4 linked regions of the Saccharomyces cerevisiae S288C genome follow. Changing the gene in region 1 together with any one later gene gives a genetic interaction. Each region holds a gene or a part of one and is shown in the gene's direction. Other genes may lie near its edges. The genes, in order: YME2, PET8, MNE1 and EHT1.

What was found.
Region 2: mutations in YME2 (region 1) and PET8 together harm fitness more than expected from each alone (negative genetic interaction), as found in Saccharomyces cerevisiae (2 studies listed by BioGRID).
Region 3: mutations in YME2 (region 1) and MNE1 together harm fitness more than expected from each alone (negative genetic interaction), as found in Saccharomyces cerevisiae (2 studies listed by BioGRID).
Region 4: mutations in YME2 (region 1) and EHT1 together harm fitness more than expected from each alone (negative genetic interaction), as found in Saccharomyces cerevisiae (2 studies listed by BioGRID).

The regions. Positions count from the first base shown.
Region 1 is NC_001145.3:868,869-874,311, reverse strand, and holds YME2 (Yme2p), read left to right. Parts: upstream 1-1,686; coding exon 1,687-4,239; downstream 4,240-5,443. Other genes in the region: alcohol dehydrogenase ADH2, read left to right, coding at 1-1,021; ATP-binding cassette Fe/S cluster precursor transporter ATM1, read left to right, coding at 4,685-5,443. UniProt on the Saccharomyces cerevisiae protein: Plays a role in maintaining the mitochondrial genome and in controlling the mtDNA escape. Involved in the regulation of mtDNA nucleotide structure and number. May have a dispensable role in early maturation of pre-rRNA.
Region 2 is NC_001146.8:623,771-627,721, reverse strand, and holds PET8 (Pet8p), read left to right. Parts: upstream 1-1,892; coding exon 1,893-2,747; downstream 2,748-3,951. Other genes in the region: ribosome dissociation factor DOM34, read right to left, coding at 1-266; RLP7 (Rlp7p), read left to right, coding at 580-1,548; HRB1 (mRNA-binding protein), read right to left, coding at 3,101-3,951.
Region 3 is NC_001147.6:992,219-997,412, reverse strand, and holds MNE1 (Mne1p), read left to right. Parts: upstream 1-2,557; coding exon 2,558-4,549; downstream 4,550-5,194. Other genes in the region: TFIIH complex subunit TFB6, read right to left, coding at 1-200; serine/threonine protein kinase MEK1, read left to right, coding at 902-2,395; CIN1 (Cin1p), read right to left, coding at 4,580-5,194.
Region 4 is NC_001134.8:584,174-588,626, reverse strand, and holds EHT1 (medium-chain fatty acid ethyl ester synthase/esterase), read left to right. Parts: upstream 1-2,464; coding exon 2,465-3,820; downstream 3,821-4,453. Other genes in the region: FZO1 (mitofusin), read left to right, coding at 1-2,080; ECM31 (3-methyl-2-oxobutanoate hydroxymethyltransferase), read right to left, coding at 3,969-4,453. UniProt on the Saccharomyces cerevisiae protein: Displays enzymatic activity both for medium-chain fatty acid (MCFA) ethyl ester synthesis and hydrolysis (esterase activity). MCFA are toxic for yeast and this enzyme could thus be involved in their detoxification by esterification.

The DNA.
Region 1 (5,443 bases):
CATTATCTTCTACGAATCCAACGGCAAGTTGGAGCATAAGGATATCCCAGTTCCAAAGCCAAAGCCCAACGAATTGTTAATCAACGTCAAGTACTCTGGTGTCTGCCACACCGATTTGCACGCTTGGCATGGTGACTGGCCATTGCCAACTAAGTTACCATTAGTTGGTGGTCACGAAGGTGCCGGTGTCGTTGTCGGCATGGGTGAAAACGTTAAGGGCTGGAAGATCGGTGACTACGCCGGTATCAAATGGTTGAACGGTTCTTGTATGGCCTGTGAATACTGTGAATTGGGTAACGAATCCAACTGTCCTCACGCTGACTTGTCTGGTTACACCCACGACGGTTCTTTCCAAGAATACGCTACCGCTGACGCTGTTCAAGCCGCTCACATTCCTCAAGGTACTGACTTGGCTGAAGTCGCGCCAATCTTGTGTGCTGGTATCACCGTATACAAGGCTTTGAAGTCTGCCAACTTGAGAGCAGGCCACTGGGCGGCCATTTCTGGTGCTGCTGGTGGTCTAGGTTCTTTGGCTGTTCAATATGCTAAGGCGATGGGTTACAGAGTCTTAGGTATTGATGGTGGTCCAGGAAAGGAAGAATTGTTTACCTCGCTCGGTGGTGAAGTATTCATCGACTTCACCAAAGAGAAGGACATTGTTAGCGCAGTCGTTAAGGCTACCAACGGCGGTGCCCACGGTATCATCAATGTTTCCGTTTCCGAAGCCGCTATCGAAGCTTCTACCAGATACTGTAGGGCGAACGGTACTGTTGTCTTGGTTGGTTTGCCAGCCGGTGCAAAGTGCTCCTCTGATGTCTTCAACCACGTTGTCAAGTCTATCTCCATTGTCGGCTCTTACGTGGGGAACAGAGCTGATACCAGAGAAGCCTTAGATTTCTTTGCCAGAGGTCTAGTCAAGTCTCCAATAAAGGTAGTTGGCTTATCCAGTTTACCAGAAATTTACGAAAAGATGGAGAAGGGCCAAATTGCTGGTAGATACGTTGTTGACACTTCTAAATAAGCGGATCTCTTATGTCTTTACGATTTATAGTTTTCATTATCAAGTATGCCTATATTAGTATATAGCATCTTTAGATGACAGTGTTCGAAGTTTCACGAATAAAAGATAATATTCTACTTTTTGCTCCCACCGCGTTTGCTAGCACGAGTGAACACCATCCCTCGCCTGTGAGTTGTACCCATTCCTCTAAACTGTAGACATGGTAGCTTCAGCAGTGTTCGTTATGTACGGCATCCTCCAACAAACAGTCGGTTATAGTTTGTCCTGCTCCTCTGAATCGTCTCCCTCGATATTTCTCATTTTCCTTCGCATGCCAGCATTGAAATGATCGAAGTTCAATGATGAAACGGTAATTCTTCTGTCATTTACTCATCTCATCTCATCAAGTTATATAATTCTATACGGATGTAATTTTTCACTTTTCGTCTTGACGTCCACCCTATAATTTCAATTATTGAACCCTCACAAATGATGCACTGCAATGTACACACCCTCATATAGTTTCTCAGGGCTTGATCAGGGTTCCGTAGATGGGAATTTGAGAAGTATAAGGGAGATAACGGTAATGTTATATTGAGAAAATGAAAGATGAACTCAGTATTGACAGGATCTAAAACCAAAATATAGCGGGCCTATACAGGAAGTAGTATTTGTAAAAGTAAACCATGTTGCTAGTACGAACGACTTCCCTGAATGTGTCAAGGATGCCAGTGCCATGCCTCGCCAGAGGAATAGGCATCCTCAAGGGCAAATATAGACTAGCGAACCTGATGAATGCCCAACCCTCAGTGAGACATGTGTCGAGCGAGATCCAGCAAAAGGATCAGCAGGCAGGAGAGTCAAACACCGCCACCGATACTGGTGTTATTCACAAATCAGATGAAGAAACTCTGATATATTTCGATAATGTTTACGCTAGAACCACCTCGGTTTGGAATCCAACACTGTGGTACAATCTCCTGCTAAGAAACCAGTCACGGGATGCAGTGAGGGAGAAAATAAGGAATTTAGCCAGTCCACCCAATAACCCCATTTATGGACTGGAGTTGAAGTCTACCATTCCAGTGAAAAGGGATGGTGGTGTATTTGCCACATTTGTCGTTCCACCCAAGTATACAAAAGCTCAGGTAAATTCTCTAATCCAACAGAATACAGCCAGAGAATCCTCTAAAAACTTACTCTCGTACTTCACTCGAGCTTCTGCCTTCCCAGTAAAGGGTTCGCCTTGGATTGAGGATTTAAGAAGACTACCAAGTACCACTATAGTCATCAAGTTCCAAGGGCCCGCCTTAACAGAAGAAGAAATATACTCTTTATTCAGAAGATATGGGACAATTATTGATATTTTCCCTCCCACTGCTGCTAACAACAATGTGGCAAAGGTAAGATACCGTTCATTCCGTGGTGCCATTTCTGCCAAGAATTGTGTTTCCGGTATCGAAATTCATAATACCGTCTTACACATACAATACGAAAATATCAGAAGAGGCCATCTAGTTAGTAATTTTTTCACCAACCATACAAGGATTGCTATTCCAGTTTTATTTGCGCTACTTTCAATCTTTGCTGTTTTAGTGTTTGATCCTATAAGAGAATTTTCGATTGAACAGAAGATCACTCACAAATATTCTTTATCGTGGGACAATAAGTTTTGGAAACAACTGAAAACGCTAACCTCATCTACCATGACTTCTATCAAGTACTACTGGGGCGGCCCTGATGATAATCACCAAAGAAAGCATTTATGGGAGGAAAGAATAGAGAAAGTGAATGACCTGAAAATGTGGCTTGAAGAAAATAATAATACTTTTGTGGTTATAAGGGGGCCTAGAGGTTCAGGGAAACATGATTTGGTCATGCAACACACTTTGCAAAATAGAGCAAATGTTTTGTATTTGGATTGTGATAAATTGATTAAGTCCAGAACAGATCCTATGTTTTTAAAAAATGCCGCTAGTCAATTGGGTTATTTCCCAATATTCCCATGGATTGACTCTGTCACAGGTGTCCTTGATTTAACAGTGCAAGGATTAACAGGGCAAAAAACTGGGTTGTCTGAGACGAAGGAATCTCGGTTTAGAAACATGTTAACTACCTCATTGATGTCCATTAGACGTATTGCTCTCAAGAATTACAAGGCTTTTGTTTCCACCGGTGATGGGACAGTTAATGTTAAGGAAGAAGATTACCTACAGCAACATCCGGAAGCTAAACCCGTTATCGTCATAGATAGGTTTGAGGGCAAGTCGGAAATAAATGGATTTGTGTATAAGGAACTATCCGATTGGGCAGCTATGCTAGTTCAAATGAATATTGCTCATGTGATTTTCTTAACGGAAACCGTTGCATCCAACCAAAGATTGAGCGAATCACTACCCAATCAAGTCTTCAAAAACCTAATCCTATCAGATGCCTCAAAAGAGAATTCGAGGAACTATGTATTATCCCAATTGGAGGATTACTTATATTACAATAAAAAATCCAAGGGTGAAAACGTAAAAGAACCTGAATCAGAAAAGGAAACTGCTGAAAATAATGATTCTGATAGTGAGGCCGATACGAGTGTCAAAAAAGCTGAGGTTATTTTAAATGAAAAGGAATTACAGGAAATTGACGCTTCTTTAGAGCCATTGGGTGGTAGGATGTTAGACTTACAGGCATTTGTAAGAAGGGTAAAGTCAGGAGAAGAGCCCTCGGAAGCAGTAGACAAAATGATTGAACAGGCTTCTGAGCAAATAACTCAAATGTTTTTAAGTGACAAGATTGACAGCAATAAAAGTGCACAAGCCTGGGAATTAATCGAATTATTGAGTGCGAACCCAGTCATTCCATTCCATGAAATCGTTAACAAGCCATTATTCAAAGCCGCACCAGAAACGGGAATCATGGAATTGGAGAATAATGGTTTAATAACTGTATCTAGAGATAGGGGTGTTTTACAGGAAATCAGGCCTGCCAAACCGCTATACAGGGCAGCATTCACATACTTGATCAACGATCCTGAACTCGCAAAAGTGCTAAAAACCCGTTACTTATTAAAGGTTGTGGGTTTTGAAACTGGTAGAATCAAGAAATGGGAAGAAGAATTAAAACCTTTGGGGAAAGTTCCTGATCAGAAACTTTTCAAGACCAGATTGGACTATTTATCCGGTAAAATCAATGCCAGTAATGCAGTCATTACCAAATGTGAAGAAGAAATTAAAAACCTATCTAAGTGATGAAACAAAACTTACTATTCTGCTTTTCTGTACATATGTGTAAACCCTATATTGCTATACTCATCTATATTCTTTTGAAAATGTATAAAAGTGACGATTGGAGATGGTGCAATTTTCTACGCAGCATGAAAAATATCTAAGGAAGGTAAGGTACATACCAAGTAAGTCTTATAATATGTTGTTGTACCTCACTTTACCATTCTTAAAGTCTTTAAAAGAAATTACCTTACCCAATTTGCACAGCAAAGGTCACTGACCTATACGTGCCCTTCATCAGATTACATCACGTGAAATTTCACTGGGAAAGAGCGCGAGGGCTTTCCGATGACTTTCTACATTAATAATCGCAAACAAAGCAATCAGCACAGCAAAGAGTACAATTTCGAAAATTGCGACAGAGCAACGTAAGTATATCGTTGTTGATAGATTCCACTCCAACCTGCAAATGCTGCTTCTTCCAAGATGTCCTGTAATTGGGCGAATTGTAAGATCAAAATTTAGATCTGGTCTAATCCGGAACCATTCGCCCGTTATATTTACTGTGTCTAAGTTATCAACCCAGCGGCCTCTGTTATTCAATTCAGCTGTGAATTTATGGAATCAAGCACAAAAGGATATTACGCACAAAAAATCCGTCGAGCAATTCTCGTCGGCTCCAAAAGTGAAGACTCAGGTAAAAAAGACCAGCAAGGCCCCAACCCTCTCGGAACTGAAAATCTTGAAAGATCTATTTCGCTATATTTGGCCCAAAGGCAACAATAAAGTGAGGATAAGGGTACTGATTGCCCTTGGACTGTTGATATCCGCCAAAATTTTAAATGTTCAAGTACCTTTTTTTTTCAAGCAAACTATTGATTCAATGAATATAGCATGGGATGATCCTACAGTCGCCCTTCCGGCAGCGATTGGATTAACCATTCTTTGCTATGGTGTTGCAAGGTTCGGCTCTGTTTTATTCGGCGAACTGAGGAACGCCGTATTTGCCAAAGTGGCACAGAATGCCATTAGAACTGTGTCGCTACAAACTTTCCAGCACCTTATGAAGTTAGATTTGGGATGGCACTTGAGTAGACAAACGGGTGGTCTGACGAGGGCCATGGATAGAGGTACAAAGGGTATATCTCAAGTGTTAACGGCCATGGTATTCCACATTATCCCTATAAGTTTTGAAATATCTGTCGTTTGTGGGATTTTGACGTATCAA
Region 2 (3,951 bases), on another chromosome or scaffold:
GTAACAGTAACACCTTTATATTTCAAATATTCATCCTTCATATCAAAATCCTCGGATATTACTTTAATCTTCAACTTGACCAAATCTGTACTTTTTTTCTTACCAGCTTCATCAAGTTTAGAGGTGAATTTTTTCTTGAATATCAACTCGTCATCTTTGTCTACTATTTGATAAACAGTAAACAGATCTTCCTTGTCCTCCGGTAAAAGAGTAATCACTGCTCCTCCTTTGTTAAAAGAATCCTTTTTCAGACTAATAACCTTCATATTTTTGCTATGATAGGAATGCGATAATTGAACAAAATGACAACGATGCAGCAACGAATGCTTAATTTTTTGGGATCTTCATTAAATTACATTTTACATTAATATACAAAACTAGGTGAATATTGAATAATGTATGTACACTTTCATCACGCAGTACGGATTTTTGGTAAAAAGAAAATTTTTTTCAGCTCTGCTTAAAAAAAGCTGGGAAGCGATGAGATGAGAAAAGTCTAAGTTGTTTGGTACTTTCGTTATTAAGTTCCTAGAAAGAAGAGGCTGCCACAGGGAAAAAGAATAAGATATACAAGTCACAATGTCTTCAACTCAAGACAGTAAAGCGCAAACTCTTAATTCTAATCCAGAAATTCTTTTGAGGAAAAGAAGAAATGCTGATAGAACTAGAATCGAAAGACAAGAATTAGCTAAGAAAAAGAGGGAAGAACAAATCAAAAAAAAGAGAAGTAATAAGAACAAATTTGTCAGAGCTGAAAGTATAGTTGCAAAGACTTTGGCTACCTCTAGGGAAAAGGAAAGAATTAAAAGAGTGTCTATATTAGAAGATAAGAAGGCAAAGAATGAAACGCAGCATATTGCATCTGGGAAAGATTTTATTCTGAAAATAACAGAAAAAGCTAATGGCGCCGAAGAGAACTCTGTCGACTTGGAGGAGACTGAAGAAGAAGAAGACGATGGTTTAATCAGAGAAAAGACTACTTACGATGGCAAACCTGCTTTACTTTTCATTGTCAGAGTAAGAGGTCCGCTTGCTGTAAATATTCCAAACAAAGCATTTAAGATTTTGTCTTTGCTAAGATTAGTTGAAACTAATACTGGTGTTTTCGTCAAATTGACCAAAAACGTATATCCGTTGCTCAAGGTTATTGCGCCATACGTAGTGATTGGCAAGCCTTCTTTATCTTCTATCCGTTCCTTGATTCAAAAGAGAGGTAGAATAATCTATAAGGGTGAGAATGAGGCTGAACCTCACGAAATAGTTCTTAATGACAACAATATTGTCGAGGAGCAATTAGGAGATCATGGAATAATTTGTGTTGAAGATATTATTCATGAGATTGCCACTATGGGTGAGTCTTTTTCTGTTTGTAACTTCTTCTTACAACCATTCAAGTTGAATAGAGAAGTATCTGGATTTGGTTCTTTGAATAGGCTAAGGAAAATAAAACAGCGGGAGGCTGAATCAAGAACTCGTCAATTTTCAAATGCAGCTACAGCACCAGTTATCGAAGTTGACATTGACTCTTTATTAGCCAAGTTGAATTAATTAAGAGAGTATTTTAAAATTGTATAGTACATAGGTTGTTAGTTATCTAATGCCATTGAAGGAGCAGATATTGAGCTTTTGCATATAATTAGTGGTGCCTCATGGATTGAAGAATATACGTATTTTGGCAAGTTTATTGGTTTTTAGTTTATGTATCGGCAAAAGCACGGGCGCCTCTTTTTTTCCTCGCTTACTGAGCGCTGTTTTGTATATAAATACATTTGCAGTGGGGTGCACCCTCGAGAATATATGAGATCATTAAAGCTCCACTTGTTGTAAATTGTTTGGCGATTTTATATGTTTAGACACACCGATGAACTAAAATTCGCTTTGAAAAGTTTGCTATGAATACTTTTTTTCTTTCCTTGCTAAGTGGCGCCGCTGCTGGTACCTCTACGGATTTGGTTTTTTTCCCTATAGACACAATTAAAACCAGGCTTCAAGCTAAGGGTGGATTCTTTGCTAATGGAGGATACAAAGGCATATATCGTGGTTTGGGAAGCGCTGTTGTAGCATCGGCGCCAGGTGCTTCACTTTTCTTTATTAGTTATGATTATATGAAAGTAAAATCAAGGCCATATATCAGCAAACTTTACTCACAGGGATCTGAGCAATTGATTGATACGACAACGCACATGCTTTCCTCTTCCATTGGTGAAATTTGTGCTTGTCTTGTTCGAGTTCCCGCAGAAGTCGTTAAGCAAAGGACGCAAGTTCACTCTACCAATTCTTCCTGGCAGACTTTACAGTCAATTCTACGAAATGACAATAAGGAAGGTTTAAGGAAAAATCTTTATAGAGGGTGGTCTACCACCATTATGAGAGAAATACCGTTTACTTGTATACAGTTTCCTTTATACGAGTATCTAAAAAAGACTTGGGCAAAAGCCAATGGCCAAAGTCAAGTGGAGCCATGGAAAGGGGCTATCTGCGGTTCTATTGCGGGTGGGATCGCAGCAGCTACAACGACACCATTAGATTTCTTGAAAACCAGATTAATGCTCAACAAAACAACCGCCTCACTTGGAAGCGTTATTATTAGGATTTACAGAGAGGAAGGTCCTGCTGTATTTTTCAGTGGAGTGGGGCCCCGGACAATGTGGATCAGTGCAGGTGGTGCTATCTTCCTAGGCATGTATGAAACTGTTCATTCGTTATTATCGAAAAGTTTCCCAACGGCTGGAGAAATGAGAGCGTAATGAAAACATAGAGCAAAAGCAACTACCAGTTGTAAGAGGTAGATCGTTTACGTACTTTACGTAAGCCTTCTGAGGCCTCTTGTCTGTTGTTTATTTTTTGTTATTCATATAAAAAAGTCGTCTATTTACGATATCTGTTCAAAGTACTTTTTTGGATATTTGTTAAACCCATTTTCACTGTATTGGAAAAATCAGACTCTTTTCACAGTCTTCTTCAAAGTCTTCGAAATTTTTTCAGATTATACGTATACACAATGACATTATAAAGTTAAAAAGCCTGGAAATAAGTCAAGAATGAATAAATACTTGTCGCAGATCCAATAGGTGAGAAAGTATATAGATCGAGAGTAGTTCTAGAGGCGTTTAGCGTACGATATATCCAAATCACAACCCCCATAGTTATAATTATTCAATCTTTCAATACAAACATCTGCATCATCGACGTTATCGTATTCAACGACAGCTATTCCAGTTGGTGCCCCTTTGGAATCATACCTTAATTCAGCATTGTTAACCTTTCCGATTGTCTCGAAAAGGTCGTAAAGATCACTTTTTGCAGTTGAAAATGGCAAATTACTGCAATATATGAGTCTATTTCTTTCACCTCCACCGACAACGTTTTCGGTAAATTTTCGAGCTTCTTCGTTAACGGGAGAATCATCCATTGGGATATCAACATCGTCTCCATCACTGTGGTTATGTACGCTTTCCTTAGACTTGACATCCAAGACGTTACCCTCTATACTATAACCGTTGTATTTCTCAATCGCTCTATGCAGATCTTTAATATCATAAAAGGACACCGTACCAGATCCAGTGGATACTCCATCGCCATCCAATTCCACATCAGCGTGTGCGACATTCCCACATTCCTTGAATATGTCTTTCAAAGCCTGCCAATTAACGGAAGCAGGTAAATTTTTTACAATAACTTCATGTGTTTTTCGGTTATGTCTAAGCTCTCCTCTATCGAGTGCTTTCCTTTCCTTGATATTGTTTGACGGTGGTGGATTATCTTGCCTGACGAAGATTTTACGATCCATGAAGAAGGCCCCATCGTACTGGCGGATGGCCCTGTCAACATCATCCGAATTAGTGAACTCTACTGTACCCATACCTCTGTGGTGCCCTCTTGATGTAATTATATCCGCGCGGACTACTTTTCCTATCTGTGAAAAAAACTCAGTGAGATCTTCGGGGGTGC
Region 3 (5,194 bases), on another chromosome or scaffold:
CTTTTCTTATTACAATTACGCTGCCATATAACGTTGTCTATGTTAGAATTTACGACATCACCTGAGTCTGCACTAATTTCTACATCTGAGTTTGGATCCAAGTTTAAATCATCAATGTCTTTTTCATCTAGATCATTTAAGTTGTTCAAGTCCAGTTGCTCATTCGGTTGAGCATGTAATGGTGTGTTTGGCTCAGACATCAAAATACTGTGTTGAAATCTTTTATTTTTATAATATTTCTTTCCTTACCAGGGCTTGGAGTCTCTACAACAGTTAGCTTACTGTTTATTCTGCCACATTTCCACCCTTTTGTGGGGCTTCTATTTCAAGGACCTTCATTATGGAAACAGGGCGAGGTTGTTTGTTCTTCCTGCATGTTGCGCGCAGTGCGTAAGAAAGCGGGACGTAAGCAGTTTAGCCATTCTAAAAGGGGCATTATCAGAATAAGAAGGCCCTATGAGGTATGATTGTAAAGCAAGTGGTGTAAAATTGTGTGCTACCTACCGTATTAGTAGGAACAATTATGCAAGAGGGGTCCTGTGCAAATAAAAAATATATATCTAGAAAAAGAGTAGGTAGGTCCTTCACAATATTGACTGATAGCGATCTCCTCACTATTTTTCACTTATATGCAGTATATTTGTCTGCTTATCTTTCATTAAGTGGAATCATTTGTAGTTTATTCCTACTTTATGGGTATTTTCCAATCATAAAGCATACCGTGGTAATTTAGCCGGGGAAAAGAAGAATGATGGCGGCTAAATTTCGGCGGCTATTTCATTCATTCAAGTATAAAAGGGAGAGGTTTGACTAATTTTTTACTTGAGCTCCTTCTGGAGTGCTCTTGTACGTTTCAAATTTTATTAAGGACCAAATATACAACAGAAAGAAGAAGAGCGGAATGAGACCGTTGTATAGCTGCAACCTTGCAACCAAAGATGATATTGAGATGGCAGGTGGCGTAGCTCCTGCTCACCTGGAAGTTAATGTAGGCGGCTATAATACAGAGCAGACAATACCTATAGTAAAGCATCAGCTCGTGAAAGTTGGGAGAAATGATAAGGAATGTCAACTCGTTCTAACGAATCCCTCTATCTCCTCTGTTCATTGCGTGTTTTGGTGTGTCTTTTTTGATGAGGATAGTATTCCAATGTTCTACGTTAAAGATTGTTCTCTTAATGGAACGTATTTGAACGGTTTGCTTTTGAAAAGGGACAAAACGTATCTTTTAAAACATTGCGACGTTATTGAATTATCGCAGGGAAGTGAAGAAAATGACATTAAAAAAACACGACTAGTTTTTATGATTAATGATGATTTACAATCTTCTCTGGACCCAAAACTTTTAGATCAAATGGGTTTTCTGAGGGAAGTAGACCAATGGGAAATAACAAATAGAATAGTGGGTAATGGCACTTTCGGTCATGTTCTGATCACGCATAACTCAAAAGAACGTGATGAAGATGTCTGTTATCACCCTGAAAATTATGCTGTGAAGATCATTAAACTAAAACCAAATAAATTCGATAAAGAGGCTCGAATCCTTTTGAGACTGGATCACCCAAATATTATCAAAGTCTACCATACTTTCTGTGACAGGAACAATCACCTTTACATATTCCAGGATCTTATCCCTGGTGGTGATTTGTTTTCTTACCTAGCTAAAGGCGACTGTCTAACTTCCATGTCAGAAACTGAATCGCTATTGATCGTCTTTCAAATTTTGCAAGCTTTAAACTACCTTCATGATCAAGACATTGTTCACCGCGATTTGAAACTAGACAATATTTTGTTATGTACGCCAGAACCGTGCACTAGAATCGTCTTGGCAGACTTTGGTATAGCTAAAGATTTAAATTCCAACAAAGAAAGAATGCATACTGTCGTAGGCACTCCGGAATACTGCGCTCCAGAAGTTGGATTCAGAGCAAACAGAAAAGCATATCAAAGCTTCTCAAGAGCAGCTACGTTAGAGCAACGAGGTTATGACAGTAAATGTGATCTTTGGTCTTTGGGTGTCATTACACACATTATGTTAACAGGGATCTCGCCTTTTTATGGAGATGGTTCTGAGAGGAGTATTATTCAAAATGCAAAAATTGGGAAGCTGAATTTCAAACTGAAGCAGTGGGATATTGTTTCAGATAATGCCAAGAGTTTTGTCAAAGACCTTTTGCAAACTGACGTAGTTAAACGATTAAATAGTAAGCAAGGTCTCAAACATATTTGGATTGCAAAACACTTAAGTCAATTAGAGAGATTATATTACAAAAAGATATTGTGCAATAACGAAGGCCCTAAACTAGAAAGTATAAATTCAGACTGGAAAAGGAAGTTACCCAAAAGTGTTATCATTTCTCAGGCAATACCGAAAAAGAAGAAGGTTTTGGAGTAATCATAGGATTATCTCTTCCTCTTTCAAACTGCGCGTAGTTCAAAATAAAAAGGTATCTGTGTAAAAAAAAAAAAGTAAGTCAATTGTATGATTTTTAAGTAAAAGTTGCCCTTTTCTACTAGAAACGGCGAGAAAAAATGATAGTAGTGTGCCAAGAAGAATATGAAGTTACTTTTTAAAAGATATTCGTCTAGTCATATTGGTAAGCTGATTAAGGACTCTTTAATCACTCCTGAAATACTACCACAGCTAGGGCGACAGCCATCATCGCATAAACGTTTACCAAATAACAAAAGAACTAACTCAATAACTGATAAATGGTTGAAGGATGCGCTAACAAGAAAAGATAAACTGAATGAAGATAAGCTCCAAAATGTAAATTTACGATTAAATGTGGTACTGACTACTCTACAGAAGCTTCGTACATCCGATAATCCTGCTTTGTATTTTGCGTTGTTGAATCGTATTGGCACAGGTCACATAAAATGGCTAAATAAAAGTGGCCGACAGATTGATGCATTCCCACCTGATCGGCTGCCTTTGGAATTTTATCATGAGCTATCTAATATGCTCTATAAACTATCGCTTCGGTCCGCAAATGACAAAATTGCACTAGCTAAATTTTCATTGCAATTATTGGATCGCTATTATTTTCTTAAAACCAAATCTTTAACTATAGAAGGAAAATTTCGGGCAAACATAAAATTTTTGAGGAATTGTACTCTTTTAATTGTTAAATCCCAATCGAACTACTACTTAAGGGCAATACAGCGGTTGTTCGCGGAAAATTCGGAGGGTCAATTATTAGCCAATTTATCCCAGCTGGCATTTTATGTGGAGACCTCCCAATGGACAAGTATGTTGGATATTTTATCCTCATGTGTACCGGATTCTGGTTTAAGAGGTTCGAAGGAGCGTGAAAGAGCTATTCAATTGTTGGAGTTATTTAGTCCATGCCTAGTCAAAAGTCTAAAAGTAATGATAGCACAAAATATGGAGAATGAAGCTTGTCAGATTTTAAGGAGCTTGTCTGAATGGAACTTTCATTTTGATCAGCATGATTCCTCCAACTTGATACAATTATCCCAGAACCATTCTTGCCTCAAAGTTATTGAAACCATGAATGGATTATCATCAACTACCGCTGTCACTAGGCAATTCGGACTTGAAAAATTACCAACTGACGTGAGTTTGAAGCAGAGCATACATATTTTATCAAAAGATAATTTCGAACCTCTCAAGCAAGATTCATTTCTTCAATTTCTATCGTTTAAATTAAGTGATTTGCCTCTGAACTTAGAAGTATGGAAAAAGCACATTAAGGAGGTTGATGACCAAATGCAGGCTGAGTCCAACCTGCATTCCTTAAGAGCTTTTTTTATTGATATGCTACTGTGTCACTTATCTGTGCGCAAGGATTTCGATTTTATGCTTTCATTGGTCGAGCACATAGTATACGAAAAAAATTTATGGCAGCCATTATTACTCACAGATAATATAGTTGGAAACAAAGAAAATTCCACTTTTCATTGCCTCTTTCATGGCGCCTCTCAAGATATTTCTACCAAACTTACTCTACTGGCATTGTATAACCAGTTGAATGAAATCGGCTATCAATTTACCTCCCACGATTTTCTCTCGATGTTGAAAGTCTGCAAAAACTACTCTGATTCTGATTTTTTCTATTTTGCTTTCTATAATTTGTTGGTTACACAAAGTCACAAATTTTTTCTTTTCGATAAGTTTAGTGATAAGTTTTCGTGGAGGTTGCCAATACAAATCGGAGATGCAATTTCTGAATGGCTATCCAGCTTAGAAATTGATATACAAGAAAACACCGATAGAGTTTTGCAGATAACAGATGACGTCGGCGAATGGTATGTTGAGAATAAACCATTTAAGTCAGAAAAAGGGACCATTCAACCAATAAACATAATGGAATTGCGCAAAATTTTTGGGGAGCGAAAAACTCTATTTCATATGGATTCAGAAATTTTCCAAAAATCTAAAGCAAAAAGAGATAAAGAAATGCGGAATGAAGCTTTATTTACCGCAAATGATGCGGAATATAATTTTGCTGCGGATGTATCCTATGCAAAGAGAGTAGAAAATCTATTTTCTTACATAAGATCTAAGCAAATGCAACAAAAATAATGATTATATGTAAAATTTGCCGTTTACATTCTATAAAGTGATATCAGACTCTAATATATTCGCCAATTCATGTTTCTGGCAGGCCACTTGTAGAGCTTGGAGTTGCCTGGTGACACCTAATTCCAAAAATATCTGGAACATACCTTGTAAAGCGACATTTTGATCAGTCATAAATTTTGATTTTGTTGCGGCGTATTCACGTTTCACAAGAACCAACAACCTTTTCAGTATTATGTTGGATAGATTCTTCTGGTCAGCATTTTCTCTCATTGTGTGGTAACAAGATATTGCCAAGAACGGGAAGAATTTGATCACGCTTACTCTCAATGTCGTACAATCTAATAAATGTAGGTTATAGAACTTGGCGAAAACACCCTGAAAATTAAAATTTGGATGTAGAACAACCAACCCAGATTCCATGATTCTAGTCCAAAATTTTACACAATGAATGGTGAATTTGATGGTGTCAAATCTCATACCTCCTGTTAATGGATCCTTGTTACGATCGCGTATTCTTGATTCAGCGATTTGTTTAGCGCTTGGAATTATTCTGATTAAATCGTGGCATAATTCCAGCTGTTGTGAAGGAGACAAAGATCTGTAGTATACGATAAATGAATCTATTGATGAAGTAAGCTGAGAATC
Region 4 (4,453 bases), on another chromosome or scaffold:
ATTATTTCACTCTCAGATCGTATCAGTGACAAATCATTTAAACGCTTTGAAAAAAAGAGTGGATGACGTTTCATCTAAAGTATTCATCACAGGTGATGTAAATACTGGTAAATCAGCTCTTTGCAACTCTCTATTAAAGCAGCGTTTGCTACCTGAGGATCAGCTACCATGTACCAATGTATTTTCCGAAATACTAGAGGCTCGGGAAAATGACGGCATAGAGGAGGTTCATGCCATACCACTAAACATTGCTCCGACTCTCAAGGAAGCCATTGATATGTATTCAATACAAAATCCCAAGACTTATGAAATACACACTTTGAAAGAACTTCCCGATTTGGTTCCCCAAAACGGAAAATATGCTTTACTGAAGATTTACATAAAGGACGATAAAAGGCCTGCCTCTACTAGTCTATTAAGGAATGGTACTGTTGATATTTCATTAATTGACTCCCCTGGGTTGAACATGGACTCGTTACAAACCGCCGAAGTAATGTCCCGACAAGAAGAAATCGACTTAGTTATATTTGTTGTCAATGCAGAGAACCAGCTAACACTATCTGCCAAGGAGTTTATTTCTTTAGCATCTCGTGAGAAAAAATTAATGTTTTTTGTTGTGAAAAAATTTGACAAAATCAGGGACAAACAACGTTGTAAGGAGTTGATCCTAAAGCAAATCCGTGACCTGTCCCCAGAAACATATAAACGTGCAGCTGATTTTGTCCACTTTGTTTCCAAAAACGGAGATGAATTGCCACATTATCATAATGAAAATGACAATGAAGATCATGGTGACCGAAAACCTGACGACGACCCATATTCTAGCAGCGATCCCGATCCGGATTTTGACAGTCTGGAAGATTCTCTACGCAATTTTGTTTTGAAGAAAAGATCACTTTCTAAATTGTTACCTGCCAAGACTTATCTATCGAAATTATTAAGCGATATAATAATGATCTCCAAATCTAATATGAAAATGTATAGTGAAGAAGAAATAAAAATTAACGAACAACTGGAAACATTGAGACCTGAAATTTTGAGCGCTAGAGCAAAGTGCAATGATTTAACAACTTCCGTTGATCAAATGGCCGAGCAAACAATTACAATGACTTATAACAATACTAAAGAAGCACTTCTCAATGCGTTGGATGTTCCGCTACACGAATATCCGAAATATCAGGGCCTCGGTCAAATTTATGACTTCATATTTTCAACAGAAGCGTTCATAGCAAATCAGATTGATGAGTCAATAGGATCAAGTGAATTATTTGCCAAGCAAAAGACAGATTTACTGGTAAAAAAAATTTATGAGATTGGAAAAAATGAACTTGGTGATGATTTCATGTGTGAACGTGTTTTCAGAAGCGAACTAATGTTTAGAAAAAGGAAGCATTTGATAGGAAAAAGGCTTAAAGTATCTTTGTCAATAACTGATTTGTTTGCTCCAACTTGGAAAGGCTTTTTGTCTTACTTAAGCTGGCAGAAACCTGTCACAGCACCACTGCCGGATATAGAAGGACAAACTAACGAGGGTCAGATTGGCCTAATGAAGTATTTGGGTTTGAAAAATTATCCTTTGACACAATATTGGTCAAGACCATCATTGCTCTTCACATCAAAAATTCCCACTCTAACGCTGTACTTTCTAGGAAGTACAAAGGTTGTGGGGAACATTATATTAAACGGCATTAAATTATCGTCGTGGAGCTCACTCAAGAAGTTATCAGTTCCGGTTATAGTGGTAGGTTCCTTGTTGGGACTTACGTATTTAATTCATGACCTCCCCCGTGCCTTACCAATGAATCTTTCCATTAAATACAAAAGAAAGTTGCAAGAACTGGATTACATTCATCTTAACGCTCAAAGAACCTCAAATGAAGTACGTGATGTTTTGCGTGTACCTACACGTGAAATTCTAAGGTCGTGTGAAATAATTATGGATAAAAAACAAATCACTAAGAAAGAATTGGAAAACAAAAAAGAAAGTAACTTGTTGTCAATCAAATTCTTCCAATCTCTATACGAAGGAACCGTGGCTCAAAAATTGATGGTGGAAGAAATAAATTTAGACATCGATTAGATATTCTTGTAAATATATGAGGTCTTTTCAAATCAATATACATAATGTTACTTATTATTTTATTCCAAGCAGGTCCATTTTTTTTTTCACTTTGCACGAAATTACATAAACATTAAAAGGACCCTTGTGTATCTGCTTAATGATTTGCAAAACCTGCGGAAACGGAACGAAAAATGAGCAATCTCGTTCCGGTTCCGAGATCCTTTTTTTTTTTTAAATCTTGCGCATGTGCAGATTTTAAAAGGCGTCAGATATCGGATGTCCCTGGAAGTAATAGCTCCTCGAGTATTTCCTCCGTTTATTATTAATATGAGCAGTTTTTTAAGTTCTATTATTACATTGATAGTAGTTGCGTAAAAAACAAAGCTCATAAAAGTTTCCGATATGTCAGAAGTTTCCAAATGGCCAGCAATCAACCCATTCCATTGGGGATACAATGGTACAGTTTCGCATATTGTCGGTGAAAATGGTTCCATTAAACTCCATTTAAAAGACAACAAGGAGCAAGTTGATTTTGACGAGTTCGCTAACAAATATGTCCCAACGTTGAAGAATGGTGCCCAATTCAAATTGAGTCCTTACTTGTTCACAGGTATTTTGCAAACTTTGTACTTAGGTGCTGCTGATTTCTCTAAGAAATTTCCTGTATTCTACGGCAGGGAAATTGTCAAATTCTCGGATGGTGGAGTTTGCACCGCTGACTGGCTCATAGATTCATGGAAAAAGGATTATGAATTCGATCAAAGTACTACGAGCTTTGATAAAAAAAAATTTGATAAAGACGAGAAGGCGACACATCCAGAAGGATGGCCTCGTTTACAACCACGTACAAGGTACCTGAAAGATAATGAGTTGGAAGAACTACGGGAGGTTGATCTACCCCTAGTAGTTATTCTACATGGTCTTGCTGGTGGTAGTCATGAGCCGATTATAAGATCTCTTGCTGAAAACCTGTCTCGCAGTGGGAGATTTCAAGTGGTCGTCCTAAATACCAGAGGTTGTGCACGTTCCAAAATTACCACCAGAAATTTATTTACAGCTTATCACACAATGGATATTCGCGAGTTTTTGCAAAGAGAAAAGCAAAGACATCCAGATAGAAAACTATACGCTGTGGGATGCTCTTTTGGTGCTACGATGCTGGCAAACTATCTGGGAGAAGAGGGCGATAAATCACCTTTATCCGCAGCTGCTACTTTGTGCAATCCTTGGGATCTTCTCCTTTCAGCAATTAGGATGAGCCAGGATTGGTGGTCAAGAACTTTATTTTCCAAAAATATTGCGCAATTCTTAACAAGAACCGTTCAGGTTAATATGGGTGAATTAGGAGTTCCAAATGGCTCTCTCCCCGATCATCCTCCCACAGTCAAGAATCCATCTTTCTATATGTTCACGCCTGAAAATCTAATAAAGGCAAAGAGCTTTAAATCGACCCGGGAATTTGATGAAGTGTACACTGCGCCTGCTTTAGGCTTCCCAAATGCTATGGAGTATTATAAAGCGGCCAGCTCAATAAACAGAGTTGATACAATTCGGGTTCCTACCCTTGTTATCAATTCCAGGGATGATCCTGTTGTCGGCCCAGATCAACCATACTCAATCGTGGAAAAGAATCCTCGTATTTTGTATTGTAGAACCGATTTAGGTGGTCATTTAGCTTACCTAGATAAAGACAACAACTCGTGGGCTACCAAGGCAATTGCAGAATTTTTCACTAAGTTTGATGAATTAGTCGTATGATGTCACACAATTTTCAAACCACTTTCCTATGTATTTATACAACATTGGATCAATGCCCCTTTATTTTAAGTTATGTATTTTTTGTTGTCTTCAGTATACCTAAAATTTAAAGTTTTTTTCCCTATGCAGTGATTTTTATCTATATATTTTACTTTTCGTTAATTGAAGAGAGGAATTCATTCCATAAGTCCTCCTTAACTTTGAAAGTATGAGTACCTCTCTCAGGAAATGTCCTATCCTCTACACTTGCAATGTACTCCTTCAAGCCCTGAGTGGCAATATCTGTCATATTTACAGCTTGCTTCACAAATTTTGGGACAGAATCGCCTTGCATCCCGAGAAGGTCAGATATAACTAGAACTTGTCCACTGGTACCGTTACCTGCACCGATACCTATTGTTGGTACTGAGAGTTTAGATGTTATGAACTGAGCCATCTTATGGGGGACACATTCAATCAGGATAGACCAACAGCCAATTTTTTGTAGTTGCATGGCGGTTTCATACAGCTCCTGCATTTGTAATAGACTTTTGCTACCTTGCACTTTATAACCTCCAAGTGAATGAACTTTTTGGGGAGTTAGTCCTATATGAGCCATAACAGGTATACCCCGGGAGCACAGTTCTTCAATAA